2 linked regions of the Caenorhabditis elegans genome follow. The protein of the gene in region 1 purifies or fractionates together with the protein of each later gene. This does not show direct contact. Each region holds a gene or a part of one and is shown on either strand. Other genes may lie near its edges.

Evidence for each region.
Region 2: the proteins of rrp-8 (region 1) and rrp-1 fractionate together in Caenorhabditis elegans (co-fractionation; one large-scale study listed by BioGRID). This does not show direct contact.

What each region holds. Positions count from the first base shown.
Region 1 is NC_003282.8:394,340-398,261, forward strand, and holds the start of rrp-8 (Ribosomal RNA-processing protein 8), read left to right. Parts: upstream 1-2,205; coding exon 2,206-2,271; intron 2,272-2,324; coding exon 2,325-2,783; intron 2,784-3,582; coding exon 3,583-3,714; intron 3,715-3,767; coding exon 3,768-3,922. Other genes in the region: nog-1 (Nucleolar GTP-binding protein 1), read left to right, coding at 1-413, 465-1,622, 1,679-1,909.
Region 2 is NC_003282.8:9,980,300-9,984,221, forward strand, and holds rrp-1 (Ribosomal RNA processing protein 1 homolog), read right to left. Parts: upstream 1,978-3,922; 5' UTR 1,968-1,977; coding exon 1,841-1,967; intron 1,793-1,840; coding exon 1,569-1,792; intron 1,524-1,568; coding exon 1,412-1,523; intron 1,362-1,411; coding exon 848-1,361; intron 761-847; coding exon 544-760; 3' UTR 435-543; downstream 1-434. Other genes in the region: dhp-2 (Dihydropyrimidinase 2), read left to right, coding at 1-41, 90-410; mam-2 (MAM domain-containing protein), read left to right, coding at 2,991-3,042, 3,092-3,187. UniProt on the Caenorhabditis elegans protein: May be involved in the generation of 28S rRNA.

The sequences.
Region 1 (3,922 bases):
ATCTTATGAACATTCTCTACGACCGTGATCACTACAAAATCGCTCTTGGACAAATGAACACAGCTCGTCATTTGATTGACGGAATCGCCCGTGAATACGTTCGTTTGATGAAGTACGCCGACTCGCTTTATCGTTGCAAAATGCTCAAAAGAGCCGCACTTGGACGTATGGTCAAGCTGCTAAAGCGACAAAAGTCCAGCTTTGAATACCTCGAGCAGGTCCGTCAGCATTTGTCTCGCCTTCCAAGTATCGATCCAGCTACTCGTACTCTCATTCTTTGCGGATTCCCAAATGTCGGAAAGTCTTCATTCATCAACAATGTGACACGTGCTGATGTTGAAGTTCAGCCATATGCTTTCACTACAAAGGCTCTTTATGTTGGACATCTTGACTATCGTTTCCTCAGATGGCAGGTAAGTATTAAGCGAATTTCTTTTGAACCTTGATAATAATTCACTTTTCAGGTTATCGATACCCCCGGAATCTTGGATCAGCCACTTGAGGACCGTAACACCATTGAAATGCAAGCAGTTACCGCATTGGCTCATCTGAAAGCATCAGTGCTCTTCATGATGGATGTTTCAGAACAATGTGATCGTAGTATTGAGGAACAACTTCATCTCTTCGAATCGATCCGTCCATTGTTCGCCAATAAACCAGTTCTTATTGGTTTGAACAAGGTTGACATCAGACATCGATCTGATTTGCCACCAGAGAAAGCTGCATTGTTGGATCAACTGGAGAAGGAAGGAATTCCAATTATTGAGACATCTACACTTACACAAGAAGGAGTTATGGGACTCAGAGATCGTGCTTGCGATGAACTTTTGGCCCAGCGTGTTGAAGCTAAAATTCAAGCCAAGAAGATCACAAATGTCGAGGATTGTGTGCTGAATCGCGTATTCGTCGCCTACCCGGCTCCACGTGACGAGAAAGTTCGTGCTCCATTTGTTCCACCAGGTTTGGCCGCAAAAAGAGCTCAGAAGAAATTGCAAGAAGCTCAAGAGCTCATGGAGACTGATGGAGATGAGTTCGCAGCAAAAATTCCACAAAAACCAGGCAAAATTGGAAAGGAAAAGATTGCAAAGGGTGGATCCCAATCCACCGATCTTGGAGATCTTCGTGATGAGAACACCCGTCGTTTGGAGAGAGAAATTGAGTTGGAAATGCAAGATGATTATATTCTGGATCTTAAGAAACATTATATGCTGAAGAATCCTGATGAGAAGTACGATATTGTTCCCGAAATCTGGGAAGGACACAATCTTGCTGACTTTGTTGACCCGGAAATCCAGTCAAAGCTTGAGAATCTGCTTCGCGAAGAGGAGCTCTTGGAGCAAGCCGGAGAGTATGAATCAGATTTGGATAGTGATGATGAGGAGACCAAGGAGAAGTTGAAGCTTGCATTGCAAATCCGAGAAAAAGAAAAACTGTTGACTTTGGATCATGCCGTTAACAAGAGAATTGCCGGAAGAATTGGTTCACGTATTCATGGTTCAAGAAAGAGAGATCGATCAATGTCTAGATTAGAGAATGAGCTCGGAGAGTTAGGTGTAGATGTTGACACGAAGAAAATGAAGAACTTGCAAGGACAATGTGCCAAACCACAACTTGGAAAGAAGGTTTGTGTAGAACCGAAATCTATAATTTCGGTTTCAAATTAACATAATTTTTCCAGATGAAAGTGGGTCGCTCGCGCAGTCTCAGCGCCGTCCGTCCGGCTCCACGTGATGAGTTGGCATTCCCAGACGAGGAAAAACGTGCACATGTCGACAAGTTGCGTACGAAAGCAATGCGTGGATTGCGCCGAGAAGCCAAGAAGGGAGAAGCCGATCGTCACGTATACGACCTCAAGCCAAAGCATTTGTTCTGTGGAAAACGTGGAAACGGAAAAACCGATTGGCGTTAAGAACATATATATCTTTTGTTCATTTTTTTTTTGTTATTTTTGTTTTGTTATTCTGTTCGTTTTTTTTCGTCTCCCTGCTTTTTATTCCTTCCAAAAACTGTATACCCATCCATCCATTTTTACCTTCTTCTCACTGCGTCAATCGGCTTCTCGCCCACATGAGTTTCCCGAATAAAATTCTTCCTGATATTTTTGTAGATTCTGAATTATTTTTTTTCTTCGATATTGCACATTTTTTAGCATTCCGTTGAATTTTTCGCTGTATTAGAAAAACTATTTTTTAATTAACTCTTCAGATGGGCAAAAAAAGAAAGATTACGGATGAAAAGGATGCTCAACACGTGCCAGCTGAGAAACGAGAGGTTAATATCACATTTTCAAAGAAACGTAGTTCTCAAACACAAATTAATTGCAGAAAGTAGAAAATTGGTTAAAGAAATCTACGGAAAAACCAACAAGTTCACAATCTGACGCTGAAAAGAAAAAGAAACGTCCATGGCGTAATAAGGTCCGTAAACTTGCCGCAAAAAAGGCAGCAGCTGACAAGAAATCTGAAAATCCAGAAGAACCTCCGCTGATTCTCGAACCAAAGAGTTCTTCGGATGAAAATACGAAAAAGAAGAGAAAACGGGGCCCAAAAAAGAAGAAGTTCAAGCCCGAAGTTGCTGGAAAAGCTGCTGAAACTGAAAATGATGACGTGGCAGCAGCTCCAGAAGAAGCAGATCCAATTGCAGAGGCTAAAAAGAGACTTGACGCGGGACGATTCAGATTTCTGAACGAAAAACTCTATACATGTACTGGTTCTGAAGCATTTGATTTCTTCAAGGAGGATCCGACGGCTTTTGATCTATATCACAAGGGATTTGCTGATCAGGTAAACATTAATTGGTATCTCAGTTTCACAACGAAGCCTTTAAAATGATATATGTGCCATTTGAAGGTGTTCCAAGAGTATATGTTAAAGGTGGAGTAGCGCCAGTGGGGAAATTGCTTTAAAACATGCAAACATATGGTACCACAATGACCGAATATCATGATAAAAAAATTCAAAAATTTTTTCTAAATTTTATATGATTTTTTGAAAATTGAAAAAATCTCAGTTTTTGCCTAATTCCTATTTGAATTACCGCCAAGTGGATTTGTTCGATGAAGCGCGCTTGCACGTTTTTAAATTTATTTATTTTGTTTTTTGTTGTTTTCCACCGATTTTTAATGTTTTCGGTGTATTTTTGCTCGAGTTTTAGAGAAAAAGTCAAAATAAATGAAAATTTTCGATTAAAAAGCACGCTTTTCTCTAAAGTTCGAGCATACACCGAAAAGAATACACCGAAAACATTAAAAATCGGTGAAAAATAACAAAAAATAAAATAAATAAATTTAAAAACGTGCAAGCGCGCTCCATCGAACAAATCCAATTGGCGGTAATTCAAATAGGAATTAGGCAAAAACAGATTTTTCAATTTTCAAAAAATCATATAAAAGTTAGAAATTTTTTTGAATTTTTTTATCATGATATTCGGTCATTGTGGCCCCATAGGCATGTTTTAAAGCAATTTCCCCACTGGCGCTACTCCACCTTTAATGCAAAATTTTAAACGGGAAAGCTATACTCTCAACCCCTAAAATGAGCGAGAAAACTTTGTCTTGTCAGTTGTGAACTCTCAAATTTTCAGGTAAAAAAATGGCCAAATCACCCACTCCGCGAGATTATCCGCTGGCTTCAATCCAAACCGGATCAACAATCAGTATTCGATTTGGGTTGTGGAGAGGCTAAAATTGCAGAAGCCGTTGGAGAAAAGCATAAGGTTCATATAATTCCCTGGAAAAATCACATTACATTTCTCATGTTTTTTAATAGATTCGCTCATTCGATTTGGTTGCAGTGAATGATCGTGTTGAGTCGTGCGATATGTCGAAACTTCCAGCTGAAGATTCATCAGCTGATATTGTTATTTATTGCCTATCACTGATGGGAACAAATCTTTATGATTTTATTCGAGAAGCTCGAAGAGT
Region 2 (3,922 bases), 9.6 Mb from region 1:
CGAATGCAACTAGAACTATTTCAAAAGATACACATCATCATGTGAGTTTTAGGTTTTAGTAAATTCAATTTTAATGCAAAAAATTCAAGGCGATTGACTTCAATATTTTCGAAGGAATGCAAGTACACGGAGTTCCAGAAATCACAATTTCCCGAGGACGTACTGTTTGGGCAAATGGTCAACTGAAAACTGTTCAAGGTTCAGGACAATTCATTCCTTTGGCTCCAGACTCTCAAATCGTCTTCTCAGCTGTTGACAATCGTAAGAAGGCTATGGAACCTGTGAAAATAGACCGAATTCCATATGAGCCATCGGCACTGCAGACACCTGATGCCAATGCGAACATCGTTGTGAAAGCTCCAGTCAGGGCAGCAATTCCTCCAGGAGGAGCTAGCAGCATTCAGTTTTAAATCTACTTGTAAATAATTGTTTTTTTTTTATTTTTAAAAATTCAATAAAAAAATCACTTCCAAAAAGTAACAATGCATCAAAAATTGAAATTATAACAAAAACATAACAAATCAAGCAACAATGATATTCAGATTAATTTTTCTTTCCTGCTTTTCTTTTCAGGCCGCCGACCATTCTCTTCTTTCCGACTCCTTTAGCTTTCAAAAGTGGGCGCCCTTTCTTCACTTTAGGAACTGCTGTTTTCTTTCCATTTCCTTTTTTAACTTCAGCGATTTCGTCATCTGGAACATCATCTCCGTTCTCCTGCCGTGCAGCTTCGGCAGCCTCACGAGCTCGCTTTTTGATTTGGCTTTAAAAAATTTTTATTTTTAAAGTTTTTACATTTCACGATAAATCTAACAATAAATTCGTCAGCTTAATACGCCTATAAGTGTACCTTTTAACTTTTCTGGACGACTTTCTCTCTTGCTTGAAGCTGTTGGCCAACACAATGGCCTTCTTCTCGGCTTCTTCATAATCATGTCTTGTCAACCTCTCCTTTGGAACTGGGGTCTCGAAATGTAATGGATCTTGTCCACGAGAACTCTTATCGAACTTCTTAACAAGATCATAGATCTTCTTTCTTCTCTTAGCATTTAAATGTTCTTGCTTTCCCACTTCAAATAGCAACGCTCCGATTTCCTTGTAACTGAATTCAATTCCACCTTGATCCATCTCTTCTCCTTCTTCAACAGCGGTGATCAAATCACTTTTCTGCTGGAGAATAGTTTTGAAAATTTCTTCATAAAGTGATGTGAACAAATATTCACTGATGTCTTTGTTTCCGAGAAGTTCAATGTATGGCTTGAGACAGGCCGTCACTTGCTTCTTGGTTAATCCTCCGGCTGCATCAAGTTCGTCGAGAAGAATCGAGGCAAAATGGAACTTTAGAGCTTCGTTGAAGGACTTATCTGAAAATTAATCGAAATATAATGAGAATAAAATTAACAAATCTACTAACCTGTGGAGATAGTAGTTTCCTGGAAAACTTTCCAGTATTCGTCACGGATATCCTTTTTCCATTTTAATTCGGCAAGATGAGTGAAGCAAGCTCGAACCATACGACGAACTTCCTAAAATACAACGACATTTTAGACGAAGGAATATTACAAATTTACCATCAAGAATTTATCCATGCGCCATCGATCGATATGAGGCCACTCTTTGGAAAGACTTTTCAGAAAGCACGCAACAAAGCGTACTTTTTCTTCCTCCGATGTGAAAATATTAATAAGTCCTCCAATTCTGTCAGCCAGCTCTTCCTGAAGAATCATTTTGTCTTGCATCCACATCACATAGTGAAGGCCCTTGCATAAGCGCATCAAGTCAGCATCATCGAAATCTGAATATAAACTTTTAACAATTATATGTAAGTTGGAAAATAACTCACGTTTCTTTGCGGACTGATCACGAATCCAATCGTGAAGAACGCGAAGAGCTCTTTGACGCGTAGCTGGCTCTCCGCAAGCGAGTTTCTGAGCGAAAACTACTTCGACGCTTGCCAAGTCGACATCCATTATTGGAATTCTAAAAAATAAGTAATATTTGAACTGTCTTAAAATAGAAAAGTAACAAATTTTGAAAAATCCATTTGAATAAACTGTATTGGCTTCAACAAGTATTCCAATACTGTTTTTTGAACAGAACCCCGTTTTTACTTGATTTACGGATGAAAGTAATTGTAAAATGGTGAAAAATTATTTTTATAATTTTTTTACAATGAAAGTTTTATAAAATATTGGAAAATCATTACGGAAATACAGAAATTGGAAATAAAAATTGAATGAATAAAAAAAGAATTAGAGGATGCAGTGCACTGGGGCGCACTTGCCTCCTGTGGAGAGAGCATGTGGGACGTAGAGTCGCAGAGTGAACTTGCCTAACTTTTTGGAAACTGCCAAAGAACATCTTATACATTTTCAAAAAATGTCGGTCTTTGAAAAATTAAATAATTTTCATTCGAGAGTTTCGAATCATGTATAAACAGCGATGATGCATGCATGTAAATTATCGGGGAGAGTGCCCGACAACCTCAATAAGGTTTTGAAACTATGTTGGTTCAGAAGAACATGCTTCCTAGAAGTGAAATCTTTGAATATATTAAAATTCGGATGAATTCTCAGTGAAACATATTCATATTTTTCGTTATTCCTCAACACCGAGAATCACTTCTCTCGTCATTCAAATCCCGCTTTTCAGAGTCACAATGAATTGCCGCAATTGTTTTTGCATCAGAAGTAGCTGTCCTCTCTCTCTCTCTCCCTATTTCTTTCATTCTCTTTTCCTTTTTACGCAACAAGATCGTCCTCTATTTATGCATTTATATCAGAAATGAACACGAAAAGAGAAATAGAGAGAAAGACAGTATCTGCTTCTTGGCTTTTCTCCAGCTTATTTTCTCAGAGGATGCAAAAAAGTGGGAGGAGCGTGGTTTTTGTTCAGGAAACGATAACATTCGCCTCCCACCATCCTCTTGCCAACCACCAATTCTTTTAAGATTTTCAGTTTCTACTACATATCTCTAATTCTCCAAATTTTAGATGACAATTTTATTATTGTTTACTGTATTTTTTGGGTTTATACCCTTTACAGGTATTTTGAATTCTAAAAAAGCAACTAGAATAATCGTTGAAAATTTAAGAAGTTGAAGCATGTATGCCTGGATACGAAGCTGAAAGAGATCGATTAAGGGAACATTTAGGAATTGAATGGATCCAAAATGGACTCTCAAAATCAGGTAGGATTTTTGAAAAGGCTGTACTTTTTGGTATGTCGTTAGCTCAAGAAAACATGAATTTAGGCGATAGTGAATCCTGTGTTTATTTTCAGAAATTTCAAATTTCAAAGGGTAAATAAATAAGTACAATCGTGGCGAGGCGCAATTAGAAAATAAGTGTGTGCCTTTAAATTTACGTTTTACTAATTTACGATAGATATATGAGAAAGTTAACTGTGGTTGAGATGAGAAACAAATTGGAGCTTTTCTATGTGTTTCTCTGTTTTAGTTGTGCGGAAATTGGTTTGGATTTTTAAGCCTATCCCAGCTTAAATTTAAAACTAAGACTTCTATAGTACCTGCCTGCTTTAGAGCAGCCAGCCTACTAAATCATAAAACCAAAAAAAATCACGAAGACTTTGCCAACTTCTAATGTTTTTGTCCTACTTTTGTAGCAAGTTCAATAGACACGAGTAAAACAGTCAAAGGAAAATTCCAAGTAGGCACAAGTTAAGGCACAAGGCAGGCATAGGTGGCGTGAAAAGTAACTATGCAGGTATTTTTTTACCACGAGAATTTCAAGATTATTAATTAAAGTGTAGTCTATTTTTCTCTATGAGCGGAAAGCTTCAAGCAGGAAATGGAGTTTTTTAGTGAGCACATCGTGTTCTACAATTGATTTTTTTTAACTAGTGTTCCATCGTACTAATTCACACTGATCGTTCTTCACAAATGCTTATAGATTGTATACTTATG